Linked DNA regions of Danio rerio. The protein of the gene in region 1 binds, or shares a complex with, the protein of each later gene. Links are inferred from orthologs where the notes say so. Each region holds a gene or a part of one and is shown on either strand. Other genes may lie near its edges. The genes, in order: fga, fgg and f2.

Region 1 (10,482 bases):
AAAATACTTTTCCAAACAAAACTTTTTAGTTTTTCCAAAAATTTGGACACTTTATGTTGAACGTTAGTCGAAGATTATGAACAATACAGTGCTCAGCATATATAAGTACACCCCTCACAATTCTCTCTTTTAAATTCAGATTTTTAATAGGAAGCTTTACAATATTATATTTCAGCATATACGTTAGATTAGTCAGTACTGAAGCCAAATCCGGAGCTTATCTAACAAAATAACTTAAGATAATGGTATAAAAACTAGCACACCCAAATTTATATGTTATAGAAAAATATTAAATACAAATTTAAAAAAAAGGAAAAATCAAGAGAAGAAAAAAAAATGTAAAGATTTAGCTGAAATTTTGAAACTTGCAATATTTTGCTTGAACTTAATTGTATTATCCTTCTATTTCTAAATATGTTTGGTGACTTAAATATTATTTTAATAAATATGTGTGTTAAATAAATCTGTTTTGTTCAAATGCATCAAAAAACATTGCCTATATTCACTGAGATATGGAAACATATATTCATTTTCCAAATGGGGTGTACTTTTTCAGTTTAATTGAAAGAAAACATCCAAAATACACCTTTAAGTGTTTATTTTATGGCACTCTATCCACTTAAATAAACACTGCGTTATTTAATATATAATTTAATGTTCAATTAAAATTGCACTATATTCATCGCACTCCGTTGCACTAATTTATCTTGAATTGTACATATCCACTGCACATATATAAAATGCTCATAAGCAGCATTTCGTTGCCTTGTACTTGTGCATGAGTAATAACAATAAGGTTGAATCTAATCTAATCTACTATGTGTCTGTAGACTTCAGTAGCAAATAACATATATTTTTTTATTTATATATATATATATATATATATATATATATATATATATATATATATATATATATATATATATATGTATATATATATACATACATACATATACATATATGCATAAATCTCCACTTCAGCTGCACTAATAATCACAAAAGGTTTCCTAAAAGTTTTATTTATATCTGTATTCTGAATCTTTTTGTTACGACATTGTATTTTATTAATTCGTTGTATTATTATTACAATTTATTCTACATAAGTTATTATTATTTAATTTGGCTGGTAATATTATGAATTATAGAGTGACAAGGAAAGTATTTTTAACTTAATAAGTCGTAGGGAAGAATGGTGATAACAACTAGATTTTTTTCAACATTATTTACCTGATTTGAAGTTATTTGTCTTAAAAATCAAACGGGAAAGTTTGAAAAGGCTTATGCTTTAATGACATCTAGTGGTCGTTCAAAAGAAAAACTACATATAGATGGTTTTAATCACTTGTTTATTGCAGAAACGTCGTTGTCAAAACTGTTGTGCATAGGAAAAATTTAACTCATCGTCAATGTCAAATCATATAAAATTAATGCATGTAATATAAATACCTGACGTTGCAGTGTCACCCCAAAACCCCGACGCGCATCCAATACGAACAGTTTTATGTGCAGAAGAGCTGTAATGTCTAATATTGTGTCTGTGACGAGAGTCTCTTGCAAAACATCTGACAGTTGCAGATTTAACGTTACTTAAACTGTGTGGATATAAAACACTGTAACCGCAGAAAGGCAGCGGAGAGGTTGAACAAACTTTCACCGTCAGTCGATGCAAACTCCCAGACACGCGCGTGAGATTCGCCATGGTCGCCGAACGCTTTTATTCTTGAAATTATTATTATAATTATTTCTGCGAAGAGACGATTGTATTTACTACAAGTAAACTTGACTGTCTAAAGTACATTCGCGTACTACACGCAATTTCATCCGTGTAGGACAAATAGGTGTTATCGTAGTTCCTATAGGCATATACAGGGCTTTTGTAGAGCGATTAAATGAAGTGTACAAATCCATATGATTTTATAAACATACAAACCGTATTCATATGAGAGGTAAGTGTCGACTTTAATGTTTTAAATAACTTTTGTGAAGGAAAAAAAGGCAAAATATTAGTGATTCAATCTCCGAAGCCTACTTTGATTTTTGCTTTACATCTTTTAATACAGCCTATATGAAATCAAACTAGTTCTGACCGTGTTAAATTAAGCTACTATTGTCCTATTGATTTTTGTCTTTTAAGTCCTGCTGATTGAAATATTCCAAATGTTATGCAATTAAAAAATCAATTCAATGATTAATACATATACAGAGCTTATTCAGTGTAACAGGACCTAAAAGCCTTTATGAAATGTTATAATTATTCATTCATTCATTTTTTCTTTGGCTTAGTCCATTCATTCATCAAGGGTCGCCACAGCAAAATGAACCGCCAACTTATCCAGCATAAGTTTTACACTGTCACTGCGGATGCCCTTCCAGCATCCATACATACTCATTCACACTCATACACTACGGCCAATTTAGTTTATTAATTTCACCTTTAGTGCATGTCTTTGGACTGTGAGGGAAACCGAAGCACCTGGAGGAAACCCACACCAACACGGAGAGAACATGCACAGAAATGCCAACTGACCCAGTGAGTGCTCAGTGCTAATCACTGAGCCATTGTGTCATCCAACCTAATAATAATATACGAGTTTATTGTATAATTTTATCACAGACAATTTCTGCAATAGCCAACATGTTTCTAATTGATAGCCTGAAACATGTAAACTTATGTAATTTAAATAACTTATGTATTTATTTATAATTTATGTAGTTTATATAAGCTTATGTGGATGTTTCCCAGGGATGGGTTGTGGCTGGAAGGGCATCCACTGCTTAAAAAAAAGTGCTGGATAAGTTGGCAGTTTAGTCCGCTGTGGTGACCCTGGATTGATAAAGGGAATGTCAATTATTCAAAGCTGAAAATTCAGCATCATTACTCCAGTATTTATTCACAATATCTGAAGGCTTTCTAATACATTTTGCTGCTCAAAGACTTTTATCAACACTGAAAACTGTTGTGCTGCTAAAATGGCTATATGTGGATTCCAAGATACATTTTCCCCAGATACTTTGCAGGGGAAATAAAAACTATGAAACAATATATTGATCATGGTATATCAGCCTAAGTTCATAAGAACAGCATTTATTTTATGCCTGTTTTTTTAAAGCTTTACATTAGCATTAGCATTCACATATAGGCCTACATAGTGCATGTACAATAAGCATTCAACAAAGTAGAATCATCATTTTGAATGTTTGATTTTAGAAGGAAAATTTTGCCCCCACAATCTTTCATTCTGTTATATTTCTCCATTAATGATACAAACAAAGAGACATTTTCTTGTTCAGAAATCAGATTGTGCAGAAATATTACAAGTAGCCTAACAAGATAAATTGAATGACACTAATTATTTTTTTAATTATCCTTCCAAATCAAACATTCATAATGATGATTCTACTTTGTTGAATGCTTATTGTACATGCACTGTGTAGGCCTATATGTGAATGCTAATGCTAATGTTGAGCTTTCATTGATTCATTAACAGACGAGCTGTGATCTGTATTGTGCAACGAGAGCTAAAACCCACATTCACAACAACCTAAAACAAACATTGATTGTGTAACTAAAAAGAGCAGTCCCAGAACTGATCCTCATGAGTGCATTCTGCTACCTTTCTATGACCTTATGTGCTTACCTTATGTGCTGATTATGTTTTGTATGTGGAAATTGTAATGATGATGTATCCTCTTTGCAAATACGAAATGTAGCCTATGTAAAGAAACCCTTCTGAATCAGAAAACAAGCAATGGTTAGTTCACAACCCAAATTTGCTAAATAAAGTTTAAATGTAAAACAACCTGCTGTGATGTACTGAACACTTAACAAGCTGAGTAAAATGTTTTTGAAAATGTTCACCAAGGCAGCATTTAAAATTTTTATTGATATATATATATATATATATATATATATATATATATATATATATATATATATATATATATATATATATATATATATATATATATATATATATATATATATATATATATATATATATATATACTGTTAATTATGGGCGACGCAGTGGCGCAGCAGGTAGTGCTGTCGCCTTACAGCAAGAAGGTCGCTGGTTCGAGCCTCGGTTGGCATTTCTGTGTGGAGTTTGCATGTTCTCCCTGCATTCGCGTGGGTTTCCTCCAGGGGCTCCGGTTTCCCCCACAGTCCAAAGACATGCAGTACAGGTAAATTAGGTTGGCTAAATTATCTGTCGAGTGTAAGTGTGAATGAGTGTGTTTGTGGATGTTTCCCAGGGATGTGTTGTGGCTTCAAGGGCATCCGCTGCTTAAAAAATACAGTGCTGGATAAGTTGGCAGTTCATTCCGCTGTGGCGACCCTGGATTAATAAAGGGACTAAGCCAAAAAGAAGATGATTGAATGTCAGTTATACAAAGCTGAAAATTCAGCATCATTACTCCTGTATTTATTTACAAAATCTGAAAGCTTTCTTATACATTTTGCTGCTCAAAGACTTTTATCAACATTAAAAACTGTTGTGCTGCTAAATGGGCTATATGTGGATTCCAAGATACATTTTCCCCAGATACTTTGCAGGGGAAATAAAAGCAATGAAACAACATATTGGTTGTGATATATTAGCCTAAGTTCAGATGAACAGCATTTATTTTATACCTAGTTTTTGTAATGTAACGTTTGATAGTTGATTGTTAAATAAAAGCCTTAGCTTCATTAAAACAACAACAATGTTTAAATTATTATCATTATTTTTTTAATAAAGCAATAATGATTGATTGAATTATATTCCATTTATCTGTTCATAGGCCCCAAAGTAAAGTTGAAAGTTAGTCTTCAGTCAGCGTCACTTCTTGTACAAGCATACAGCCTATATTCTCATTCCCGTAAGCTAGTTGATAATAGCTAAATGTTGTGTAATTTGCATCTCTCTCTCTCTCTTTCTCTCTCTCTCTCTCTCTCCATATTTGTTTCTGAAAGGTGTCTGTTCCAGATTGTGGGGGCAGAGAACGATGGTCAATAGTGAGTCAGTGTGTTGATCAATCCCAAAGGTTCATATGTGATGTGAGAGCAGAGACAGTCTGTATTCTGCACAGAGAGGCTGGAGATGAAGTTCACACATTCACTGCTCTGCCTGTTCGTGGCGGTGTCCTCTGCATTGGTGAGTGATATAATGCATTCTATTTTTAAAAAAAGATCAGTATTTTTTATTGTGTTAATGTGTTATTTTTATATTTATGCATATGTGATTTTACTTTAAATCCAATTAATTTTATAATATGTACAGTGCTCAGCATAAATGACTACACACATCACAGAACTCAAAATGAATGGACTTCAAAGTACATAAGATATGCAATTTTAACTTTACATAAGTGCATATAAGTTGTGATGATTAGAAAAGTTAATTTAATTCAACAACAAAAAATGAAGGCAGCAATATATACAGTTGGAGCCAGAATTATTAGCCCCCCTGAATTATTAGACCCCATGTTTATTTTTTCCCCAATTTCTGTTTAACGGAGAGCAGATCTTTTCAACACATTTCTAAACATAATAGTTTTAATAACTCATCGCTAAAAACTGATTTATTTTATCTTTGTCATGATGACAGTAAATAATATTTGACTAGATATTTTTTAAGAAACTTCTATACAGCTTAAAGTGACATTCAAAGGCTTAACTAGGTTAATTAGGTTAACTAGGCAGGTTAGGGTAATTAGGCAAGTTATTGTATAATGATGGCTTGTTCGGTAGACTATCGGAAAAAAATATAGCTTAAAGGGGCTAATAATTTTGACCTTAAAATGGTTTTTAAAAATTTAAAAAAAGCTTTTATTCTAGCTGAAATTAAACAAATAAGACTTTCTCTAGAAGGAAAATATTATCAGACATACTGTGAAAATTTCCTCGCTCTGTTAAACATCATTTAGGAAATATTTAAAAAGAAAATAAAATTCAAAGGGGGCTAATAATTCTGACTTCAACTGTATATTTTTTTTTACAGTGTATAGGATGCTCTACAATAATATATTTGTGCATATACATTAGATTAGTATTTATTTAAGCCAAAACTGGAACTAATCTGACAAAAAAATCGTGAGATCAAAGTCTAAAAATTAGTTAAAATATAGTAAAATTAATAAAAAAAAAAATTATAAAATTTTAATTAATATTAAAAATCAATAGAATAATAAAAAAGATCAAATTTTGTTGGAATGACATGTTTCAATTTAAATGTATTTTCTTGACTACATTCACTGAGAAATGGATAAAATAGTAGTTTTCAAAAGGGTGTACTTATTTGCTGAGCACTGTATGTTAAAATGGCCTATGTTGGCAGACCTAAGTAGTTATAAAGTACTTACTTTTTAGGCCGAGGAGGACACAGTGGTGAACCCTAGAGGCGCTCGTCCTATTGAGCACGGCTTCAAGGCACAAGACACCTGCCAGACAAAAGAATGGCCAGGGTGTACCGATGATGACTGGGTATGGGTTTCTCACTGTTTTTCTTCACTTCGTTCATTCCATCCATCCACCATCATGTGGATGAATGATAACAGCCTTCTAAGCCTATATGCGCAGAGGACCCCTACTGGCCCATATCTGTCAGCTGATAACCACTGATTACGCCCATACAATTGAGTGTAAAACATTCGAGTTGGCTGGATAAAAAATTTCAGACGGCATTTAGAAGTCTTCATATACTACCTATTACTATATATTATATAAGTCATAAATATTGACTCAATAATTAGACAAAACACAAAAATCTCTATCAACAAATTTGTTGCAGTAAATGTTTCTTTCAATCCTCAATATAGGGAAGCAAATGTCCATCTGGCTGCCGAGTTCAAGGCCTCATGGACAAAGCTGACCATGATCTCCTCAAGAAGATTGAGAAGATTCGACGTCTCCTGGTGGAGGGCCAGAAACTATATCGCTCTGCCGATGAAGTGTCCAAAACCACCTATACTTACCTGAGAGAGAAACTGACCTCTAACAGTGGTAAGGATTTGCTTTGGTTCAGTTGTGATCATTTTTGTCCATGATTAAGTTCATTTGTTACGGAGACCCGGAAGAAACGTAATGGTGAGAGTGGAACTGGGATTTTTATTTTGTTTTGATCCCAGATCAACTTCTGTACACGCCATTTAAAGTGACACCTCTGTTATCAAACAAGTGAAGAGCAGCAAATGAATCTAGTTTGGTTTTGTTTGATAACCGAGGTGTCATTTTAAGATTGCACAGATCTATAATGACGGCATTCGATTACTTCAGTAACTGTTTGTGCTCATTTAGGAGAAAATTAGTTGTGTTTAGAAATAAAAACATGCAGGACGGACATGTTTACATATTAAGGTTATTTGTCTGTTTAAACACACAACCGAATCCCAAAGTGTCCTGCACTTTAGCTCCTTTTTAAATGCCGTGTACAAAAGGTGATCTGGGATCAGTTTATCATATAGTGCTTCCGTTAGTCAGTGCTTATACATGCATTCGCTGATTCAGAGGTAGCATATGAAGGGCTACGATCGACGCACAGCTTTAATAGAAAGAAAGTGAATGCAGGCATTTTTATATTATTTTTAACATGCTTTCAAGATCAAAAATATGGGAGAAATATGGGAAAATACTTAATGATAGGATGATAGCGGGATAGAATGGTAAAATACTGGAGAATCGTGGCAAAAATGGGAGGGTTGACATGTATGAAGTGAACAAGAAGTGTTTGTCAGCAACAAGGGAACGCAAAAACTTTAAATCTATATATATAAATTTTCCAACACTCTTTTTTTATCACATCCATTATTTTCCCCCACCATCACTTCCCTTCCGGGTCTCCGTAATTTGTAAAACACACTACAAATCCTCATTTTTCTTCTCCTCAGGTTATGATAACAGGTATATGTCTCTGGCCGAACAACTGAGGCAGAGGATTACTGATATCAAGATTAAAATTGACCGCCAACTTCGACTTCTGGACGCTCTGAAGTCGCAGGTCAAAGATCAAGTTGTTGTAATGCAGCGGCTTGAGGTGAGCAAAATATTTAAAGAAACATTTCACCATGAAGATGACAATTTACTTATTATTTATCCACCCGGGTTACGAGTTTCTTTCTTCTGTTGAACACAAACGATGAGACTTTGAAAAAAGCTGTAAACCTGAAACCATTCACATCTATATGAAAAACAAATACTATAGTCAATGGGTACAATTGTTTGTTTTTCATATGATAGATGTCAATGGTTTCAGGTATACAGCTTTCTTTAGTGTATCTTCTTTTGTGTTCAACAGTAGAAAGAAACTCAAACAGGTTTTGGTTGAACTATCATAAGTCTTAACCAAGTTTTAGCTAAAACGGAGTCTTGGTTTATGTGAAATTTGATCTCTACACTGATTTCTGGAAACAACGGCATCATTAAGTAAACTTTTCCAATATTATCTCCTACCACAGGTTGACATTGACATCAAACTACGCACATGCAAAGGCTCTTGTGCCAGCTACAGCGAGTTCTCGGTGGACAGGGAAAGCTATGTGACTTTGGACAAGCAAATGGACAATCTGAACGCCATGCGTGTACAGAGCGTGGAGACTGTCAGTTCCTTGGGAATCATGAAGAGCAGGCCGTTGAAGGATGTGTTGGTGCCCACCATTTATAAGAGCGGAACGGGCAAAGCTGAGCAGAAGCTGCTTTTTGGAGATGTAGGCCAGATGCAGCTCTCTCTGGAAGCTGAAGGCTCCACTGCCGAATCTGCCGCCACAGTTAGCAAGTTTCCCACATCAGGTACGGGCTCCACATCACAAACCTCCAGCAAGCAGTGCACCAAATCAGTTCGCAAAGTGATAACACACACCAAAGATGGCCCCGTGGAAAAGGTTGAAGTTTCGTCTAGCGGGCCCGGGTGTGATGATTTAGGAAAACTAGGAATTTCAGATTCAGAGTTTTTGACGGCAGCCAAAGATGGGAAAGATTTGAGTCGCGATGGCTTGAAAATAACAGTGACCGGCGGTGATGAAAAGTCCCTCACTTCTCTAAGCCACAGCACTTCTGATCTGGGTGGCTTCGGAGGAGACTTCTTTAAGAATCTTGGCACTGACAACCGAAAGTATGCCTCATCTTCATCCTCAACATCCACAAAGACAGTGTCAGATGGAAGCAAAAGTTACTCAAAGACCACCCTCACTAGCGACCCTATTTTTGGGGATGACCTCGGGGCGTTCATGCGGGGCGACGTGGAAGAAGATATGCCCGACATCCATGCACGCAGTGTGAAATCGCAAGACGATCGCAAGGCTGGCTTTGTTGGCGGAGGTACACTCGAGTGAAACTCTTAACACAAGTGAACCATTGATAAACATAATGATAACACTATTAACAAGAGTTTGTTGGAAACATGTGGACTAACTGATATCTAAGTAAATACCAATCCATCACATTTATTAATACTCACCAAGAAGCAATTGTTTGGATCTCTGGAATGAATTTGCAATGCAGTTTTGCTCTAATCGGCAGGTGTGTAATCTTCTTTCAGATTGCGTTGAAATCCAGCAGAAGCATGTGAACGGCGGTCAGAGCGGGATGTTCAAAATAAAACCAGCGGGGTCTGAGGAGGTAGTAGAGGTTTACTGTGACCAGAGCACTGGGTTGGGGGGATGGACTCTGGTTCAACAGCGGGAGGACGGGTCTGTTAACTTCAACCGCACTTGGAAGGAGTATCTAAATGGTTTCGGACAGATAGACAAGCAGGGTAAGGGCGAGATCTGGATTGGCAACAAATTCCTGCACCTTCTCACTCAGAAAGAAAGTCTTCTGAGGGTGGAGCTGCAGGACTGGACTGGAGCTGAGGCCTACGCTGAGTACAACATTAAAGTTGGCTCGGAGGCTGAAGGTTTCCCGCTGACTGCATCCGATTATGATGGGGATGCAGGAGATGCGTTAGTGAGAGGACATCCCAACCTTGGATCCTTCCTTTCACATGCTGGCATGAAGTTTAGCACCTTTGATAGGGACAGTGATAAGTGGGAGGAAAACTGTGCAGAGATGTATGGTGGAGGGTGGTGGTATAATAACTGCCAGTCAGCCAACCTCAATGGCATTTACTATAAAGGAGGCCAGTATGACCCGGCTACCAAAGTCCCCTATGAGATTGAGAATGGTGTCGTGTGGCTGCCTTTCAAACCAGCTGATTACTCCCTCAAAGTGGTGAGAATGAAGATCAGACCTGTCTGAAATGAAAACATAAAGAGGGGATTAGGGGAAAAAGGATGGATATCTGTTGTTTTGAATGAGCTGTATGATTAATATTCTGCTTGTGTTGAACGTAATACAATGATGATGCAACATACATTTTTACACAACCAGATTACCTCATGTTTCCAATAAAGATGTGTTCACTTTAAGTTCTGGAGTGTGTTTTTATTTAAAAAGGTCTGCTTTCAGAATCATTTTCTGGACGATCTACAGACAAGTTGTAACCACAAAAGCACAATGTGTTCAGATCA
Region 2 (10,438 bases), about 16 Mb from region 1:
AATTTACAACACCAATTCAGACAAAATGTCAATACAAGTCACCTTTTCAAACTTTTCATCATCAAAAGTTATTGGATAAAAGATCGAGCACTCATAATGTTATTCAAAATGATACATAAATGGCTTTTTTTTTTAAAGTGTACACATGTGAAATCTGTGTAATTTCTTTATTTAATCACTTGTCTATTTTTTGATAAATGATAGATGTCTTATAGATTTATGCAACAGATTTATAGATTTATATAACAACATTTCTTGCTGGGAAATGTCTAACCTGTGCATAAATGTAATGAAATGCAATTGAGGAGCACCACTTGGAAGATTGAAGACCTAAAGCTATGTGTCAAATATGAAAAAGAAAGTTCTCACTTTTTGTTGCCTTCCCAATCGACCATCTCTATCCTCAGCACATAAGGCACGCTGGACTGAACTGACAGCAGATGTATCTTCTCATTTCCCAACCAGAACTCAGTCCTGTCATCGGGTGAGAGGTAACCAAAGCCTTCCTTATACTGGATCCAGTTTTTGCTGAAGTCAACGCTGCCATCCCGCCTCTGAGAAAAACATACATCAATAAAGAATCAATAAAGTTGTCTGTTAAAAGTTTGTTTTGTGCAGGTCATTTTTCGAAAGGAGTTTGTGTCACTGTGCATTTTCTGTTGTGTCTTATACCCTCTGAAGTACAGTCCATCCACGTCCAAAGCTGTCGATTTCACAGTAGACCAGGAATGCTTCAGGGGCTCTGGCTGGTTTCACATAATACAGCCCGCTGACCTTACCACCTTTGTTTGCAATGTCCTGACAATCTGGGCACATGACATACATAAGTTTTCTTATTATATACACTGTTAAGAGTGATTATTGACTTTACTTTAAAAATTGAGTAAACCCGTTTTAACTTGGAACTGTTAAGTTGATTTAACTTTCTTTTTTTTTTTATACGTAGTTATGCACATACAGTTGAAGTCAGAATTATTAGCCCCCCCCTGAGTTATTAGCCCCCTGTTTATTTTTCCCCAATTTCTGTTTAATGGAGAGAATATTTTTTTAAACTCATTTCTACACATAATAGTTTTAATAACTCATTTCTAATAACTCATTTATTTTATCTTTCCCATGACGACAGTAAATAATATTTTACTACATATTTTTCAAGGCACTTCTATACAGCTTAAAGTGACATTTAAAGGCTTAACTAGGTTAATTAAGTTAACTAGGCAGGATAGGGTAATTAGGCAAGTTATAAGACTTTATACCAGAACTTTAATATATTTATTATAAGACATTCTCCTAAAGAAAAAATGTTATCAGACATACTGTGAAAATGTCCTTGCTCTGTTAAACATCATTTGAGAAATATTTAAAAAAAGAAACAAAAATTCAAAAGGGGGGCTAATATTTCTGACTTCAACCGTATTTCATTAAAAAATTTAAGGCAAACTGTTTCGCTCTTATAAAAGTTCCATGAAACTAAAATAATCTATAATCTAGTTTACTCCAAAACAGTGACAAAATTTGTATTTAGAAGATATTAACCTGATATAAACATCAAAAGCTTGCAGTTTGTCACTTATACCTATAAATGGAATAACCCTTTTTTGACGTAACCTCATCCTTCAGTTTCTCATCAAATCTTGACCAATCAAATGCTTTCTAGTATCTGACATGCCCCACCCCCTTCAAGAGGTCTTTCATTTGCTTTTCATTTGTTGCCCTTGAGCTCAACCACTCTCACTGGAAGTGGTGTGAGATAACAAAATGCTCTTGTTTTTGAAGGGGAGGAGCAACTATACCCCACCCTCTATTCATATTTGAGATTACGTCAAACATCAAAAAATTGCACATTTCAAAGCACTTTATGGGTCCTTTAAGCAAAGTAAACTAATATATACTGTATATACTGTATGCATGTCAATTGTCATAAACATGAATTTTGCTCAAGTTTAAATCTTTACCTTTGCCAGTGACTGTCTGAATCTCCACAGTGTCTTTGCAGGGCTCTTTGCACATTTGGTCCAGCTGCATAGACATCTGCTTTAAATCCGTTATTTTTTTCTCGTTAGCTTGAAGGACTGACTGCAGTTGACTGTGGAGAAATATGGAAATGTATATTTTAATGGAATAATATATTTTTACATCATGATTTTTAATTCACTTTTTTATACACTATAATATAGATGAGAAGGAAATTTGCTTACTATATTTGTTCTTCCTGAGCGAGAATGCTCTTCTCAAATCGTAGTATATCATCCAGCATATTTGAAGACTTTTTAATGTAAGTATCTGACAAAAAGATAGTAAAGAAAATTAAGGTTTACAGGTACTGAAAAATAACAAATTTGGTAAACGATAAAATGATTTTGTGGGGTGGCACGGTGGCTCAGTGGTAAGCACTAGTGAGTCCCTGTTAGACCAGCTAGGATTTCTGTGTGGAGTTTGCATGTTTGCATGGGTTTCCTCTGGGTGCTCCAGTTTCCCCAACAGTCCAAACATTTGTGGTATAGCTCAATTGGACAAACTAAATTGGCTATAGTGTGTATAAATTAATGTATGGGTGTTTCCCAGCACTAGGGATTCATGGGTTAGTGTACTCTTGCTGCTGGGTTGCGGCTGGAAAGGCGTCCGCCACATAAAATATATGCCAGAGTAATTGGCAGTTCATTCTACTGTGGCAAGCCCTGATAAAACAGGGACTAAGCCGAAGGATAGTGAGTGAGAAACAAAATTCCAAGTAATTTTCAGAAAAATGGCATGTTGTCCAACTAACCCCATTTTATTTATGAGTAAATAAAAATTAAATAATAAAAATAAATAAAGGTGAAGCGGTGTCACAGTAAGTGCTGTCGCCTCACAGCAAGAAGGTCGCTGGTTCAAGACTCGGCTAAGTCAGTTGGTGTTTCTGTGTGGAGTTTGCATGTTTTCTCTGCATTCGCGTTGGTTTCCTCCAGTTGCTCTGGTTTCCCCCACAGTGCAAAGTCATGTGGTACAGGTGAATTGAGTAAGCTAAATTGTCCGTAGTGTATGAGTGTGAATAAGTGTGTATGGATGTTTCCCAGAGATGGGTTGCATATGCTGGGTAAGGATGCGGTTCATTCCGCTGTGGCGGCACCAGATTAATAAAGGGACTAAGCCAAAAAAAATTTATGAAAAGAATGAAAATAAATAAAGTGAAAAATAAAAATAAATTAATAAAGATACCTGCTGATAATAAATAAGCACAAAGATACACAAACACATAGAGGCAGCACCTTCAACCTTGAGGTGGATGGGCTACAGCAGCAGACAACAACGGGTGCCACTCCTGTCAGCTAAGAACAGGAAACTGAGGCTACAATTCACACAGGTTCACTAAATTGGACAATAGAATATTGGAAATATGTTGCCTGATCTGATGAGTTTCGATTTCTGCTGCAACATTTAGATGGTAAACTCAGGATTTGGCATCAACCACATGAAAACATGGATCCATCCTGCCTTATATCAACGATTCAGGCTGCTGATGGTGGTGTAATGGTGTGACCACAGTGTACCCATCTTCTGATGGTTACTTCCAGCAGTATAACGCGTTGTCATAAAGCGCAAATCATCTCAGTCTGGTTTCTTGAACATGACAAGGAGTTCAAATGGACTCTACAGTCACTAGATCTCATTCCAATAGAGCACCTTTGGGATGTGGTGGAACAGGAGATTCGCATCATGAATGTGCAACTGACAAATCTGCATGATGTTATCATGTCAATATGGAACAAAATCTCTGAGCAATATTTCCAGTATATTTCCATATTTGCAGTACCTTGTTTCCAGTACCTTATTTTCAGAACCTTGTTGAACCTATGCCATGAAGGAATAAGGCAAAAGGGGGTCCAACGTGGGACTAGTAATGTGTACCTAATAAAGTGGCCGGTAAGTGTATACTGTATATATGTGGTGACTTCTGATAAATCAGGGACTGAGCCAAAGGAAAATGAATCAAGGAATGTGTTTGCGCATATGTGTGCAAATATACACATACATATTCATTTGTATAAATATTTGTTTAAGGCTTTAGACAAATGCAATTACCTCTGCCTGATGCTTACACCATATGGCAATTTTTATGACATTCAGGGCTTAAATAATATCATAATTAATGATAAATTGTGCTACCTGGTGATTGTTTTTGTGCTTGTGCTTCTGAATCTTTCAGGTAGACCACTTTGTCTTGAGCTCCTCTGGTGAGGTTGGCGATCTCTTCCAAATCCTGTTCCATATCATCCAGCTTTTTGTCCATATCAGGCTTGTACCTCTGCAAGTAATCAGCGACTCCACATGTTGTTGGACAGTATGTTCCCTGAAAAAGAGAGGAACCAAGTGTCAATCTTACTATCAAAATAAAATCGTACAAAAATCAGCGTCCCTTCAACTCATTTTGTTGATTATAACGTTATATCAATGCATCTACATTTCTAATTCTCATATGATTAGTACAGTAATGGGAGACTGGTAAATACTTATTTTAATTGGTTGACCTGTGCTTGCAAACTAATTATATCGTTACTTATAGTCAGTAGAATGTCTATAGGGAGATCATCACAATAGAAAGTCATAACAGAAATTGAAAAAACAGTAGAAACAGAAGAAAAAAAGTCAAACATATTTGGACCAAGTAGAGGGAGAGCAAAATGTGACATAATTTGTTATTTTTGGGTGAACTATCCCTTTAGGCAGACAGTCTACTAATACTTTAATGGCATTAATAAGTAAGGACATTATTTTGATGGTCCATTTGAATATCCTTTTGATATTAATTAAAGTGTTACAGAGTTTATTAGTTAAAAAAATCCAAAACATAAAGAATTTGTACTTACAAACCCATCATTAGGGTTGCACAAATCATGTGATGGTGAGTAGTCTCCTCTTTGCTTAAAATAAATAAGGGAGAAAAGAAAATGAGTAACAAAGACATTATAATGTTTTATAATAAAATATAATAACTGTCACTCACCGCTGATGTTAATGTGCACAGCAGCACAATGGAAGCAACCACATGCATGATCGAGCCCATGTCGGACCTGTCTGTGTGGTATACCCTTGAGATTGTGAGTTTCTGTTGACTGTTGCAGGATATTTATCCGATCAAGGTCCTCTTTGGAGATGGAGATAACGGTTCACTCTTCAAACAAGAGCTAAAACCACCCCTCTATTACTCACTGTGTGACTCCAAACTAACCGTAAATGATGCATATATACGTTGGTCAACGTGTCCATCATGTTAGTACATAGTGCTAGTGGATCAGGACATTTAAGACATTTAAAATGATTTATTTATTTACAGGTTTGATTTTTTTTTCCATCAAAAACAAAGTTTGGAGATTGTAGAGTAAAGTTGCATTAGAAACCTTTTTTAACAGTTTAACTAATAATTGTGAAAACAAGAATATGTTCTCATAAAATAACATTCATTTTGCTTTCTTTGAAACATACTATTTTATTAACTGTTTTTCACAAAATTTACTTTGAGACTAACTAATCATTGGTTTCCCACTACTGTATCCCTTGATTTTAAAGGATTTAAATCACTGCATGTCAGTATTTGTAAATGTACTTATGCATTGGCCTAAAACACATAAACAATCAAACAAACTGATTATTTGCCTTGACGCAGCAATGAGCCATTGCTACAGAACTTGTGGGTCACTATCCAGTCAGTTTTAAGTTAATGATTTGTCAATTTTTCTTTTCTAGTGTTGGAAGATTAAATGTTCCACAAATACTTTAACAACATGTACCCACACACAGACAAACATACACTTTTGCTGACATACTGACTCACCAGTAAGAACAAAAATGCATTTTTTTTTCAAATGTACTGGTAATGACCAAAGCAAAGTATCAATAGTTAGTAAATAAATAAATAAATAAATAAATAAATAAATAAATAAATAAATAAATAAATAAATAAATTTCCTTCTTTTTCATGGTAATAAGCAAAGCAAATAATATAAAGCTATTAGAGAAAAAAAGAAGCAAAATAAATTAGATTAACATTAAATTTAATTTCAAGATCAAACACGTTAAACATTAAATAGCTAGTTTCTTTCTTTTGTTGGACACAAAGGAATATACACCAAAGAATGTTGGGAAAAATCAGCAAGAAGCAATAAATACATAAATTTAGAATCACTTGAGTGGGAATAAATGAGGAGGAAAAGTAGAATTAAGAGTTCTAAAGTTCTAGAGGTTTTAATAAAGTGCTGTTCGACTTTGTTTGAGTTTTTAAAGACTGAATACTATGACTTTTTAGTCACTTTAAATATTAATATGGTTGCTCAATTGTTTTTAAGGCTACAAACATCAGTACCAAAGCTGATCTGGACTATGAACATGTCTTAACCGAATGAACCACTAGGGGATGTTGCATATCAAAAATCTTGTGCAGCTGTTAAAAATGAATGACCTTTATTAAAATGAATTGAGATGAACTACTACCCTATGCCTTGGTAATCTTGATTTTAGATGAATGGGTAGAAATCTGTTTGTATTGTACGTTATTCATACTGTATTGTCTGTGTTTAAATAACAATAGTTTCGTAGCAGATAATAATAATAATAATAATAATAATAATAATAATAATAATAATAATAATAATAATAATAATAAAATAATAATAATAATAATAATAATAATAATAATAATAATAATAATAATAATAATAAAAAGATAATAATAATAATAATAATACACATTTCTTCCACATTTGAGAAATATAAATCACAATAACTTTTTTTTTTTGAATACTGACACTAAAAAATCTCCTGAGAAGCTTTTGTTGTCAAAAACCCTAGGTACATTTGCTGGTTTATTGAAGCTGGTTTTGTAATATTGAAGTGTTTGTATTCTCTTTATTCTGTGTGTCACATGTGTGTGGATTTTAGGGGTGGGACTAGTAAAGTGAGTGAAAATATTGCCAATTGAATTTTTTTCTTATTTTTTTTAAAGAAAGGTGACTATGGGCTTCATCGTTTATGTGAATGCAATGCAATGCAATAAAAAAAAGAAAGAAAGAAAGAAAGAAAGAAAGAAAGAAAGAAAGAAAGAAAGAAAGAAAGAAAGAAAGAAAGAAAGAAAGAAAGAAAGAAAGAAAGAAAGAACTGGAATTGAGGAAGATATTCAGACTGAACTGGATTATGGGGCCAGTGGCCTTGAGTCTTAGACTGATCCGGGGCCCCATTGCCTGAGAAGGCTAATGAAAGCTAACTCTCAGCACATATTCAGCACAAGCTGATTCTAAGGTTTGTTGTTTCTGTATAATATGCATTTTGTCATATTACAACTGAAACCAAAGTGTGCAGAGACCAAGATCCAATGTGCACCAGCCACATATCTTTGGTCAACTAAAACAAGCCAGTTGTGACCAGAATCAAACTGAAAGTTTTGATGTTGACATTTTAAGAGTATTTTAAGCACTGGGACAGCTCTTCCCTAACTCAGTACAATTTGGGACTGCATGATATTACAGAAAACATTGACATTGTGCTATTAAATTATTCTGCCATATAAATACAAATACAATTTCACCAGATGACTTGAATTGCTCTATTGGGAAAGAATGAATCATTTTAGATTGACTGAGATTATTTCATAAGGGAATACATTAGCATAAAAGTATAACAAACTAATTACAAGCATAGAGAAAAACATTAGAGCAAACATAGAGATTAATATAAGTTTTTTTTTTTCCTGGGGAGTCTAACAGTAACAGATATAAATACATACAAATGAAGGGACAGCATGTCATTTTAACAAATAAAGGCATAGTTTGATGATGTTATGAGTGTGGAATGGGAGTTGTTGTCTTCAATGCATCTTACAGGACTCCAGAAGAAATCATGTTCATGGATGAACTAAAGAATTTAAAATGAAGCAGATAAGGTTGTAAACCATTAAAGCGAAACAGGGTTGCTGAAACAATTGCTGATGGGGGATGAGCACGAGGCACCATGAAAGCAGCAAAGCTTTAATTATGACAGTCCACTGCTTCTGGTTCTTCTGGTAGGGATCATATGGGCAAGAAGCAACACTGTTTTATCATTTTAAATTTTCTGTAAAATTTTTGCTCTGTGCAATCTAATAAAATGTGTAGCACAATAAAGAGTTTTTGATGTTTCCATGTTTTAAGAAAGCTAATCGAAAATCAAGGATGTGTGATTTTATTAACATGTTGACACAGGAAACGGTGTTACAAGTAAAAATTGCTTATTTCTGTGGAAATGAACATTCTTCAAAACATTTAGGAAAATGTTATAATATTCATATTTTAATGAAAAATCTAACATATTGTGCCTTTAATCTTTGTCAAATTTTCAAACAAGTTCAATCTCTGAAACTTGCAATACTGTCAAGTTTCATACAGCTCCCATCAATAGCTTTATTTAAGCAGCTTCCACATAATCCAAAAAAATACAATGAATTTTTTTTTACATATTAATTGTTTGCATAACATATTAGTAGCCTATCCACACATGTGGCTTTTCTAATTTGCTCTGTAGCTCATCTGGAACATTGTTGCACATGCAGATACAAGTTTAACAGATCCTGCTGAGGCTTTAGTTGTTTTTAGCTGGTCATCAGTTTTGGCAGGCTGAACACCATGCTAGCTAAAACTTGTATATTTTTGAAAATGAAAATATGTCAAAAATGTATTTCAAGAGTAAGAAAAATACATTTTCAACATTGTGGATGAATTAACATAGAAGAGATAAAAAAAACTATATTCACAACAAAAAAAATTAAGAAAATAATGCTGAATTTAAATTGCAAACATCCTCTCCCCCCATGTTCTTTTTACAATATTGTGTTGAAACATCTTAACATAGATGAAGTTCTAGTAAAGTAAACTGCATCTGTTCAGTTTTCACAGTTGGATTCGGCTCAGTTCAGTGTAATATAACACAGCTGAAACACCAAAGAGCAACTCCAGCAACATGCATGTCCACTATTCTCTTAGATTATAAGGTAAATTATGAGTTTAAACAATACATTTCCTTGCCTGCCAACGCAACGGTGTTGCAGTACAATCAAAGTAATTGATACTTTGTGTAGTACTGTAGACATGTCACTGTTTAGAACACAGGTGCCAAACTTCCGCAGCTCTGCACAGTTTAGTTCCAACCCCAATTAAACACACCTGATCAAACTAATTGAGTCCTTCAGGCTTGTTTGAAACCTACAGGTAAGATTGTTGAAGCAGGGTTGAAACTAAAGTGTGCAGGGCTAGACCCTCCAGGACTTTTGACGCCCCTGGTTTAGAAGCTCAAAACACCACACTCTAGTGAACCCTGCTGGTCAAGACTGTGTAAACGCAACAAAATTTAGCCCAAAGCATTTTTAAACATTTACAAAGCTACTACAAATGCTTTAATAAAGTGCAATATTAATGGAATCAATATCATATCAATATCAAAATATAGTCAATTATGGAATGTTTGCATTATATGTATTATTTCAGTAAGTCCTTGTTTTGATTTGTTTTATGGAGGCCTTTTTTAAAACAGGCAAGTTGAAGGCTAGCTGAATACAGTAACTACTATTCACTATTTACTAAGTTTAAACTACCTCCATACTTTTCTTTATTCCCTCATTCATTCATTCATTCATTCATTTTCTTGTAGGCTTAGTCCCTTTATTAATCCGGAGTCACCACAGCGGAATAAACCGCTAATTTATCCAGCAAGTTTTTACGCAGCAGATGCCCTTCCAGCCGTAACCCATCTCTGGGAAACATCCACACACACACATTCACACACACACTCATACACTACGGACAATTTAGCCTACCCAATTCACCTGTACTGCATGTCTTTGGATTGTGGGGGAAACTGAAGCACCTGGAGGAAACCCACGCGAAGGCAGGGAGAACATGCAAACTCCACACAGAAACGACAACTGAGCCGAGGTTCGAACCAGCGACCCAGCGACCTTCTTGCTGTGAGGCAACAGCACTACTGCGCCACTGCCTCGCCCTTTTTATTCCCTTTGGTCTATTAATAAAGTCCACTTGAAGGAGTGAATTTGTTTTTATTCGATAATCATTTAATAATGTAGAAAATTGGCATCTCTCCAAATAAAAAGGTTTATTTTGGACTCTAATGGAGTGCATTACAGTATTTGACATCAAATGTTTAAAAGAAAAGTTTCATAACTGATGAAACTCTTTGCTAATGCTTGTGCACTGAATGCATTTTAATAAAAAAATTGTATTATTATTACTGTAGCAGTTTTGTAGCATCCCCATATGGGTTTTGTGACAAATATCCAGCTGCTGTTGAAAAAGATTAAACCCCTGTAAACAACAAGCGATAAACAAGTTTCAGTGAGTCAAGCAAAGGGCAGCTTTGTTTTTCTTCCTTAACTGTGCAAGCAATGCTGGTCTTTTAAAAGACACCCGATCTCAGTCTG
Region 3 (10,743 bases), on another chromosome or scaffold:
ACAGGCTTCTTCATGTGGAGAAGAGCAATGTCTCGGTTTAGGTTTTCTTTCCAGTTGTATTTAGGGTGGACAATGATTTCATCAATGGCCACAATCTTCTCGATGCCTCTCTCATACCTGATTAAGAGAGAAACAGGAAAATGTTCAGCAGCTCATTCTGTTAACTGAGGGTTATTGTTTACTTTTATTTCAGCTTTTAGAACAAGCAAAAGAAATCCATGAAGGAATTTTTGGAGGGCTCACTTAGTACGAGAGTGTTTTCCAAGGCGGACGATGATGTCATTGATTGTGAAGTTCTTGTTCCACGGCGGGTAGAGAATGCAGTGGGCAGCGGTGAGAATCCATTCATCACTGATCAGACTGGCTCCACACAGCAGCTCCTGAGGGCTACGCTTATACAGCATCACCTGCCTGCAAATCACATCAAACAACCATTGCAAAGAGGCTTTTTATCACTTTCCAGAACATTTACAGTTACTGTTCCTCACTGAAGGAACTCTCTCCAATCACATACAGATTTCTGAAACACAAGCAATGTTAAAAACCTATAATAGCTTGTATTTCTCTATCAAAATGAGAAGCTTTGTATTTGAAGCACTGTGAGTATTGTTTCTTTACAATGAATCACTTGATGTCTCCTCTTTGTAAGTCACTTTTTATAAAATCACCTGCTTAATGTCTAAAGCAGGCATGCTTAACCCTGTTCCTGGGAATCTACCTTCCTGCAGAGTTTAGCTCTAACCCTGATCAAACACACCTGAACTAATTAAGTAGGATCTGAACTTGTTAATTAAAGACAGGTGTGTTTGATCAAGGTTGCAGCTGAACTCTGCAGGAAGGTAGATCTCCAGCAACAGTGTCAAGCACCCCTGGTCTAAAGGTAAGGTAAACATGTGGCATTAGCTGTTGTCATGACTGATGTTGCCAAGAAATCTGAACATTTAAAAAGAGGCCCTGTCATGTTTTTACCATGGAGCGCTAGCCACTTCAGCCTCGTCTCCTCCCACAATTCTGCTTCCAGTATAGGACATCAGAAGCTCCTTCTCATTCTTGTCTGCTTTGTTGATCTTCTCAAACAAGGGGCGCTCTCCACAGTCTGTAGAACAACGCGGGAGCATCATATTAATTATTAGTGGATCGTACAAGAGCTCAGACCTTTAGTGAATGTATTAGATTCTAACCTAGCTCTCCGTTTCCAAAGCTGCGGGGGTTAAAGAAAGCTTTCCTTTGGTCTAGAGTTGTTCTTTCTCGTCCACCACCTTCCTCCACAAACTTGTCCAAAGGAGCATCTGAGAGTGAATGACAAAGGCAGGATTATGTATGCTGTGTGTGCTGTGTGATTTATGAAGTTTTGTTTAAGGATTTGTAAATTTTTTACCATAATATTTTATTCACCCTTATTTCATTTCAAACTGATGATCACTCTGAACATAATATATATATTAATAAAATCTTAGAAATGTTTGCCCTGCTTCATTCACCCCAAACTTTGATACTTAAAAACATTTATAAAGAGATTAAAAAACAAATCCACATGAGTTTAATGCAAGGTTTGGTTAGAAAATCTTTACATTATATATTAACAGAAACTCAACCATACCAGATTGGTTCTTGTGGGACAGAAATCTCTTAGATGTATGGCATAACATTTTAACATTTGGTCTTAGTCTAATCATACTATTTATTTTCACATCACTAGTAGTTTTACTAGCACTTCAGCTACTATGATGATCTTTTCTATTATTTAATAACAATTATTAATAGGCTACTAATGTTTATTTTTTTATTTTTAGGTACCTTGTTCTTATGGTTATTAATTGCAACTTCTTATTATAAGATACTGGCATTTATTCACCGGGTACTACCAATTAAACAGATACTAGTGATTCATTTGACACTAATATCAATTCATTGCATTTTATTACTTCAGTTTCAATAGTGACAACTAGATATTTGCTGGTGAATTTTTTATAGGCTATTTATGAGTTATTATTTAATACAGTTGTGACTAGTACATATTTGTTATATACACTCACCGGCCACTTTACAACTGTCCAACTGCTCATTAATGCAAATTTCTAATCAGCCAATCACATGGCAGCAACTCAATGCATTATGGCATGGAGACATGGTCAAGACGATCTGCTGCAGTTAAAACCGAGCATCAAAATGACTTTGAACATGGCATGGTTGTTGTTGCCAAACGGGCTGATCTGAGTATTTCAGAAACTGCTGATCTACTGGGATTTTCATGCACAACCATCTCTAGGGTTTACAGAGAAAGGTAAAAAAAAATATCCAGTGAGCGACAGTTCTGTGGGCGCAAATGCCTTGTTGAAGCCAGAGGTCAGAGGAGAATGGCCAGAAGAGCTGACAGAAAGACAACAGTAACTCAAATAACTACTTGTTACAACCGAGGTAAGCATAAGAGCATCTCTGAATGCACAACACATCTAACCTTGAGCCAGATGGGATACAACAGCAGAACACTACACCGAGTGCCACTCCTGTCAGCTAAGAACAGGAAACTGAGGCTACAATTAGCACAAGCTAACCAAAATTGGACAATAGAAGATTGGAAAAAATGTTGCCTGGTCTGATTAGCCTCGATTTCTGCTGCAACATTCGGATGGTAGGGTCAGAATTTGGTATCAACAATATGAAAGCATGGATCCATCCTGCCTTGTATCAATGGGTTAGGCTGGTGGTGGTGGTGGAGGTGTAATGATGTGGGGAATAAATTCTTCTCATGCTCTGGGCCCATTAGTACCAATGGAGCAAAGCCACAGCCTACCAGGGTATTGTTGCTGACCATGTCCATCCCTTTATGACCACTGTGTGGCCATCTTCTAATGGCTACTTCCAGCAGGATGACACGGCATGTCATAAAACGTGAATCATCTCCGACTGGTTTCTTGAACATGACAATGATTTCAAGATAAAAAAGATACTAGCTTCTAAAATAGATATAGAAAATAAATACTAGTATGTTGTAAAGATTAAATGTAAAGTCTGCTTGCCCTATCAGATATGATTAAAAAATATTCAACTTCTAAAAAAAAAAATTAAATTCCTTCCTTTAGTGTTCTAAAGAAAGGAATTGAGAAATGATAATGGTATTTTAAGGGAATCTTCATTCTGGGGTGAACTAACTCTTTAACAGTTGACATTTAAGAAGTGTTTTTGCCTCATTAAAATCCTGACATTTAATCCTAATTAATTAAGTCTGCTGCAGAACTCCCTTTCAAGGGAGATCCTAGGTTCAATGCAAGGATATGAATATTTTTAGTGGTTAATGAAGTTTTAAAGAAAGTACTGTTCACTCACCGCACAACTCTAAATCACAGTAATCAATGGTAATGTTTCCGCTTGCTGCCTTTATGTAACACCAGGGACCCTCCATATCTCCATCTGGGTTTCTGCAATGGTTCTTCACCAGCTGAACTTGAGGCAGAAGTTCTTTCTTCTTAATCAAGGCTTGTACTTCTGCGGAGCTCCACTGCAGGCAGGTGTGTAGCCCCAGAGTCACAAACAACTCCCCGGTGTAGGTCTCCCCGTTTCCAGGCAGACATTTGCTTATCACATGACGCTGCTCAGGTTTTGCAGTAGGAGCTTTTGGAGGAGGAACAACAGCCTCACCTGAGGAGGAGGAGAGAGAGAGAGAGAGAGAGAGAGAGAGAGAGAGAGAGAGAGAGAGAGATGGTATTCAAATGCAGCTCTTTTGTCCACTTTTCTGTTGGGTGTACCTTTTTGTTCAGTAATTTACATACTTTACAACAAAATAAAAACTCTTTAAGTATGACAGACTAATTTTTTGTTAAAAGTAGAGTAAATGTAAAACCTGTAAAAAGATAATTAAAGGCACTCTGCAGACAATCTTAAAGGGATAGTTCACCAAAAATGATAACTTATTCATGATTTACTGAGCCTCAAAAAAAAAAAAAAGCTGAAAGTCAATGAATGAATAGAGGTCAATGGTTACATATTTCCAGCTTTCTTCAAAATATCTTCTTTTGTGTTTAACAGAATAAAGAAATGTTTAAAACGAGTATAGGGTGAGTCAATGATGTTTGGGGTAAATAATCCCTTTAACTCAAGCCTGGACTGTGCAATAAACACAATGCCCAAACAGGTGATGGTAACAAATGCTATAAATAATACAGTTTTGATTGATTTCAAATTTCTGACTGCCAGTTACTGCACTTTAGTACATTTTGCTGTTATGTTTTAGTAAGTTTTCTCTACCACATTTTGGCACATTGCAGGTCTCCCTCCTGACAGTCGGGTCTCTGGTAAAACACCAAGGGCCATCTTTGTGCTTATCTGGGTTCCTGCAGAAGTTCTCCGGTAGCTTCAGCTGTGTCACATTAAATTCGCTGCGGGGGAAACAAATGGATCATAAGACAGAGGAACATCACTAAAGGCATGTAAAACAAAACAACCTTTTCTTTACTGAAGGCTTTTGTGTTTTCTATTCAATCAATATGAAATGTTTTTCCCCACTGGCCAACACTGGGAGATGACACAGTTAGACACTGTTAAAGGTGGTTCAGTACAATAAAAATACGAGAGTAGTGGTGCATACTCAATCTTGTGGGGAAAGTTGCTTTTCCAGTACTGGCATGCCTTTCCAGACTTGGTGACAGATACTTTACCAGCATACTTTGCTCCAATATTTATGAAACAGTCCCCTATCAATCACACATTAAACAATTTGGGTTATTTTACAATGTAGAAAGGACTCACCTTAACAGAATGTCTCGTTTTGTTACAACAAGCATATTCTGTTACCAAAGTAAGCAAACATGCATCCCACTTACCCTCTGTAGTCGCACATATTCTCAAACTGTTAATATTTTGGGGTGTTCTGGACAGGGTTGTTCCTTCACAGCCTTTGAGCAGATGAAAATGAAACAGAGTAATATTTGACCGACATTACAGAGTTGCCATGTCAGCAGTTTTAAAGTGAAGGTTTGACATTTTACATAAATTATATTGATGCAGATATTAAAATATTTTAGTCTAAGCAATTAAATTCTAATGATTCAACTGTTGTAAATCACAGGTCAGAAGACAGGAGTGGTAATCTATTTCAACGACAAAAAAGTATCTAAAAATTATTTTTTTAGTTGTCAGTATTTTTTAAACACCTAATTTTAATATATTTTATTATTATTATTAATAATAATAATACAAAAATCAAATAACTAAAAAATAGAGCATTTCAAATTGTGGCATCCTAATGTAAGATTATTTTGTTTGTAATCACTCCTCTGTTTTTTTATTTTTTTATATAAATTATGTGTAACTAAATGTATATTTTTATATAAGTAGCATATTTTCAGTTCTGGTAATTTGTTTGATTGTTTAAACACTTGTTTTTAATTTGTATATGGTGCAGAGAAAGGTCAGTAAAAATGCACTTTGTCCCTGGTTCAATAGAAACTGTTTACACAAAATGTTGTCACTGTTTGCACTCAAACTTTCTGTAAGGTGATATATTTTACTTACCTAAATATTTCGCCCAAAAGATTTCCTGCAATTAAATAGAAAAAAGGAAATGTTGAGCATGAAATACTATTAAATCAAACCAAACTGAAATCCTATAAAGACACGTGACTGAAAGAGGTCTAATGAGAGATTTTGTTATTTTAATATATTTTAAATCAGGACTACTGAGCCTATAACAAAAAGTGAAGTACTCACCGTTTTATCAACTCTCTCAAACACTTCTCGAGCTTCCTCATGGTCACAGATCTCTTCCACACACTCTCTCTCCAGATTACCAGGCTTTAACTCCTCAAAAACAGTGTTGGCCCTCTTCGCACGAATAATCTGAGAGGCTTCCTTACTATCGATAAACACTGCAGCACAAACGCAAACAATTCTTAATAAAATATCTAGATGCATTATAATACTTTATAATCCTATCTGTTCTTTATTACAAGGACCTAACAAGAAAAAAAGGCAGATAAACTTTACAGTGTATACAGTCTTACCATTATGACACAGTGTGAGATGGAAAACTTGTCCAAAAATTAAGAAGAGTAGAAGAGGTGCTAGTTTGGCTCCCATCCTTGAGAGTGACTGAGCCTGTAATCCTGAAAAAACCTGAAGCATCTCATGGAATCTGTTGCCTACTCAATCAGAAAGCCCACAGCTGCATTTACTAGAGTCACCAGGTTAATATTGAACTACCAGAGTTCAAAGAGAACAAAGTGTCTGTACTTGTTTTACTCAAAAGCCTCTTCTGTATCAGAACACCATTCAGCTTCAAAATGGAACATTCCTTGCTTTCTGAGCAACATGAATCACAGATATAATTATTTAAAACATGACAATGACAGCTTCATATCTCTAATGATATGTAAACTGATGTGTGAAAACATATTACGCTATTTCTTATGTTTATAATTAAAACAATATGCTTCACAGTACACACAGTGCTTTGCTATTTAAATATAAGATATATTTAATTATTTAAAAGTATTTATCTTATCTATGTAGCTGAAGAACTCTGTAAGTCCTCATGGTATCTTCTTCTTATCCATCCTTTTCATAATAATCATTAGGTACTTTTTGTAAAAAGAACAAACACAGTGTTTCACTTTAATAGTTTAAGTGTGAATGACGCGATCATTTGCTTCAACTTCATCAGATTTTCCTCAAAGAAGAAATAATTTCCCAATGCAGTTGTGTTTTCCTGATGTACTCATACAATGTCTGTATAAACATTGATGAAACAAGGTCCACTGCTCACTGAAGTCAATATTTACTGATATGTGCCGCAAACCCTCCCAAATATCAAAGAACAGCAAGACTTAAATTCAAAAGGGAATCATTTTATTTCCGATTTCTCTTCCTTTTTGTGTGACATAATGTGAATAGATCATATTTTAAATGGAAAATCCTACCATCATACCACTGTCTCAATTTCTACCGTCTCTGCCACTGAACTTAGCCCATCCTGCCCTTGGATTATGACCAAACAACTATTAGCATCTTGCTCTGGGAGTACAATACAGTCACTACTGGCCTCCACTGTGCATTCAGCATTAACTTCCTGTTCTTGAAGGCTTAAACCTTTAGAAGTCTGTTCTTGGACTACTATATTGGTGTTTTCATCAGAAATAAAAATCTCAATAATGTCCTCACTGAGCTCAATCCGATCGAGCTCCTTCTCCGCTCCCTTTCCCAAAACAATCGTGCCATGTTGGTATGTTCCAGAGTCCAAAATGATCCCTTCTGTGTGGGTCACCATAGTGAGGTGGTCTGAGGCTTGAGCGCATGCCACAGCCTGTCCTGCCTCCAAACCGCTGCTCTCAGTCCTACCAGGTTCTTCTTCTTCTTTCTGGCCTAACCTTTTGGGTCTGCCTCTTGTTGGCAGTGCATGTCCAGAGTCTGGCTGGTGCAGCTGCAGATGCCGCTGTAGACTCTGCATCATTGAGTATTTTGCTCCGCACACCTGGCAAACGTGTTGCTTCTCCTCCAGGTGGGACTTTAGGTGGCGTCGTAGCTTGGTTGCCATCGTGTACCCTTTCCCGCATTGCTCACATTTGTAAGGTCTGTCTCCCGTATGGAGCCGTTCATGAGCGCGAAGCGTGTGAGGGTCCCGTAAAGCTTTACCACAGACAGGACAGAGATACACCTCACCCGTGTGTGAAATCAGATGCCGACGCAGTTCGGGTACTTGAGAAAATCTCAGGTCGCAGTGGTCACACCTGTAAGGTTTTTCTCCTGTGTGGATGCGCATGTGTCCTTGCAGATTCCCACGTTGGCGAAAACACTTATTACAGTGCGGGCAGATGTGCGGTCGCTCTCCGGTGTGCAGACGCATGTGGTTCCTCAAAGAACCCGAATTGGCCAGCTCTTTGTCGCACTCTGGACACTTGACCTTTAAAGCCTGGTAGTCTGGCTCTTTTGTCCGATGGATCTCTCGGTGGACTCGTAGCGAGGGCCGACGAGCGAATGCTTTTCCACAGATGTCACAGACAAACGGTTTCTCTCCTGAGTGGAGAACCTGGTGCTCCTTGAGGTCCCGTTTCAAGCCATAGCTTTTGTCACATTGCTCGCACTTAAAGGGCCTCTGGCCACGATGCATTAGCAGGTGGGCTTGGAAGCTCTCATGTGAGCTGTAGGACTTGCCACACTCTGTGCACGTGTATGGCTTCTGATTTTGATGAGTGTATTTGTGTTTCTTCAGATGGCACAGTTGAAAGAAGCTTTTATCACACTCCTCGCATTTGTACTTCCTCTCTCGGATATTGAAGGGAGGGAAATCCTGCCCGTTTTGCTTTGTGCTGGATTCTTCTTTAACTGTCAACGGCTGCATTAAGTCGTCTTTGCTATTCAAGAGCTTTTTCTTGCTGCTTAGATCTGGCTTGTTCTTTGGGTCGTGTCGTTTGTAGATGCGTTTGGCTGATGAGTGCACTTTTCGGGGTTTAGAGGCGAGGCGAGAGCTGGTTCTCAGGCTTCTTTCTGGTGTGAGACATTGTGATGAAGTCTGGGCCTGTGATGCACTCACATTGATGCTCTCAATCTCTTCTGTTGCAGGAAGTTCATCACTATGTTCTGCTTCACTTTCTTCCATCCCATTCTGCTCAAGGACATTGGAATTACAGATTGTATTGTCCTGCACAAGACCTTTTACTGTAACTGGAGATTTTGTATCCTGTTGTGTGACTCTTTGAAGAAGATCTGATAGAAGAAGAAAAAAAAAATCACATTTTCAAATGAACTACTTTATATCAGTGGTGTCAAACTCAATTCCTGGAGGGCCTGCATAGTTTAGCTCCAACCTATGTAGACCAGCTTAATAGTCTCTAGTTGCTTTGAACACCTTGATTAGTTGGATCAGATGTGTTTGATTAGGTTTGAAGCAAAACTGTGCAGAGCTGCGGCCCTCCAGGAATCCAGTTTGAGACCCATGCCTTATATAAGTATGTATGTGATGTAGACTTTATTTTTAGTATTGATTGTGTTCAGCACTTTGGGCAATGTTGTGTTGTAAAAATGTGCTATATAAATAAACTAAATAACTAACTAACTATAATGGACCATTTAAGGCACCAACACACTTCAACATTTTACTGAAAGAACAAACTGACACGGTTTCGGCATTAAAATCAGGACAGCACAAGTTTGATTGGTGTTTGTTTCTGAAATTTGGTAAAATAGCTTGGTAAACACTTTCAAACTATTATTGGTGTTATAAATTCTGCAAAAATCCACACCACTATGATCAGATGCTTTCTCAATAGCCATTTTCTTATTGCTGTAATATTAGCTGTGTCTTAATTATGTTATTGGAGAGGAATAGCATACATTTACATATTTATCTAAACGCTGCTCTCAAGATGAAGTCCAGCAATAACAAGTGTGCTAGCAGTATGCTAAACACTGCAGGCACTATATCTGGCCCTTTAAACAGATATAATGAATATTGTGTATAAACTCACATGGAGAGCCTGAGAAGTGATCTGAAGTGTTGGCCTCCAGAGCTTCATCTTGTTCTCTGTTTTCACATGTTTCTACTTGAGGCGTTTCTTCTTCAGTCACAGCTTCTGGATGACTTTCCCAAAGGAGCAGTTCTGTTCCTGGCTGAATATCCCTACAGACCTTAAGGCCTAGTCTTCCATCCACTTTAAGTACACTGACATTGCTCTCTTCTGCACTCTGAGCACTGCAGGCAAACCTGTGAAAGCAGTTCTACAATGTCATGATGATATCCAGTAATGTAATAAATATACTAATTAATGAATTTTAGATCAACTTACTGCATCCAGCACACTTCATCAGAGATTTCTCTTTTGTACACACTCTGGCTTGCGTTTTGCAACCCCTGAAAAATAACAACACATGTTTTACTTATTACTTGAGGACAATTTACCCATCATCACGGTTAAAAATAGCAATTACTGACACTGTACAACCCAAAAAATTAAGGTAACTCAAACCATTTGAGGAAACCGATTGCAACAAACCATTTTAGTTCAAAAACTAATGCTAAAGAGTACTGTGAACTTAATTCATTTGAGTAAATAAAGCAATTTGAGCACAATAAAACCCAATAAATGAAGAAAACTCAAACCAACTCAGTACTGTAAAACTCAACAAGTTAAGGCAACTCAAACCGTTTGAGGAACCCGATAACTACAAACCATTTGAGTTAAAGAACTAATCTATATGAGTACTGTGGAGTTACTCCATTTAAGTTGAAGTAATGAGGTATTTAATTAACTGATTACCTTCAACACTGAGTTCAAAACTCTTTTCAAATGAGTAGAATTAACTGTCAGTACATGTTGACATGACTACACTCATTTCATTTGATAAAGTTGACTGTTGAGTTTTACAGTGTAGTTAAAACTGCTCTTATGGTGCCACTTGAACATAGTACTGTTTATAATACAATATACCTGCAGGTGAGAAGGAACTGTTATATTAATTGCTATTGTCTTGATGCATGCAAATATGGTGCAGGATATAATCTGAAACACACTTGTATTGATCATACCTCCTCTTTTTCTTTGCTGATTGTTTCTCCAGGCTCCTCCAGACCAAGCAGAGTGTCCTTCTTTAGCACTCGCCCAACACACCACAGACCCAGCTGTTCATCTTCAGCCAGAGATGGACCCACGGTGAGCCCTAGTGGTACTGACCTCAGGGCACTGTGGATGGAGTCTCTCTTGTTCCCAGAGCCTTCATTTCTCCCAGTGACTGTAGACACTAAATAAAACACAC

The links.
Region 2: the proteins of fga (region 1) and fgg are in contact, whole or in part, in a crystal structure (PDB 3GHG), measured with the Homo sapiens proteins. The link is inferred for Danio rerio from reciprocal best matches to the Homo sapiens genes FGA and FGG. Residues at the interface, in NP_000499.1 of Homo sapiens: Trp60, Asn61, Lys63, Cys64, Pro65, Ser66, Gly67, Met70, Leu73, Ile74, Val77, Asn78, Phe81, Arg84, Ile85, Leu88, Ser91, Tyr95, Asn98, Leu105, Ile109, Ile112, Asp116, Ser119, Arg123, Asp124, Tyr127, Val130, Ser131, Asp133; in NP_068656.2 of Homo sapiens: Thr47, Thr48, Cys49, Gly50, Ile51, Ala52, Asp53, Leu55, Tyr58, Gln59, Val62, Asp63, Leu66, Gln67, Leu69, Glu70, Leu73, Thr80, Ile87, Ile90, Gln91, Tyr94, Glu98, Asp106, Ala107, Ala108, Thr109, Leu110, Ser112, Arg113.
Region 3: the proteins of fga (region 1) and f2 are in contact, whole or in part, in a crystal structure (PDB 2A45), measured with the Homo sapiens proteins. The link is inferred for Danio rerio from reciprocal best matches to the Homo sapiens genes FGA and F2. Residues at the interface, in NP_000499.1 of Homo sapiens: Trp52, Pro53, Phe54, Cys55, Ser56, Asp57, Glu58; in NP_000497.1 of Homo sapiens: Phe382, Lys384, Ser385, Gln387, Leu423, Arg425, Tyr434, Glu439, Lys440, Ile441, Ser442, Met443, Lys470.

Annotation. Positions count from the first base shown.
Region 1 is NC_133176.1:11,471,175-11,481,656, reverse strand, and holds fga (fibrinogen alpha chain precursor), read left to right. Parts: upstream 1-4,957; 5' UTR 4,958-5,081; coding exon 5,082-5,135; intron 5,136-6,349; coding exon 6,350-6,463; intron 6,464-6,798; coding exon 6,799-6,982; intron 6,983-7,866; coding exon 7,867-8,012; intron 8,013-8,433; coding exon 8,434-9,292; intron 9,293-9,512; coding exon 9,513-10,210; 3' UTR 10,211-10,380; downstream 10,381-10,482. UniProt on the Homo sapiens protein: Cleaved by the protease thrombin to yield monomers which, together with fibrinogen beta (FGB) and fibrinogen gamma (FGG), polymerize to form an insoluble fibrin matrix. Fibrin has a major function in hemostasis as one of the primary components of blood clots.
Region 2 is NC_133176.1:27,272,799-27,283,236, forward strand, and holds the start of fgg (fibrinogen gamma chain precursor), read right to left. Parts: upstream 5,081-10,438; 5' UTR 5,045-5,080; coding exon 4,985-5,044; intron 4,902-4,984; coding exon 4,848-4,901; intron 4,331-4,847; coding exon 4,147-4,330; intron 2,284-4,146; coding exon 2,199-2,283; intron 2,087-2,198; coding exon 1,956-2,086; intron 807-1,955; coding exon 673-806; intron 555-672; coding exon 370-554; intron 1-369. UniProt on the Homo sapiens protein: Together with fibrinogen alpha (FGA) and fibrinogen beta (FGB), polymerizes to form an insoluble fibrin matrix. Has a major function in hemostasis as one of the primary components of blood clots.
Region 3 is NC_133182.1:38,962,153-38,972,895, reverse strand, and holds the start of f2 (prothrombin), read right to left. Parts: upstream 6,144-10,743; 5' UTR 6,121-6,143; coding exon 6,000-6,120; intron 5,865-5,999; coding exon 5,707-5,864; intron 5,537-5,706; coding exon 5,512-5,536; intron 4,893-5,511; coding exon 4,821-4,892; intron 4,692-4,820; coding exon 4,586-4,691; intron 4,377-4,585; coding exon 4,246-4,376; intron 3,640-4,245; coding exon 3,328-3,639; intron 1,290-3,327; coding exon 1,182-1,289; intron 1,097-1,181; coding exon 970-1,096; intron 412-969; coding exon 244-411; intron 118-243; coding exon 1-117. Other genes in the region: znf408 (zinc finger protein 408), read right to left, coding at 6,917-8,697, 9,459-9,694, 9,777-9,841, 10,517-10,728. UniProt on the Homo sapiens protein: Thrombin, which cleaves bonds after Arg and Lys, converts fibrinogen to fibrin and activates factors V, VII, VIII, XIII, and, in complex with thrombomodulin, protein C. Functions in blood homeostasis, inflammation and wound healing.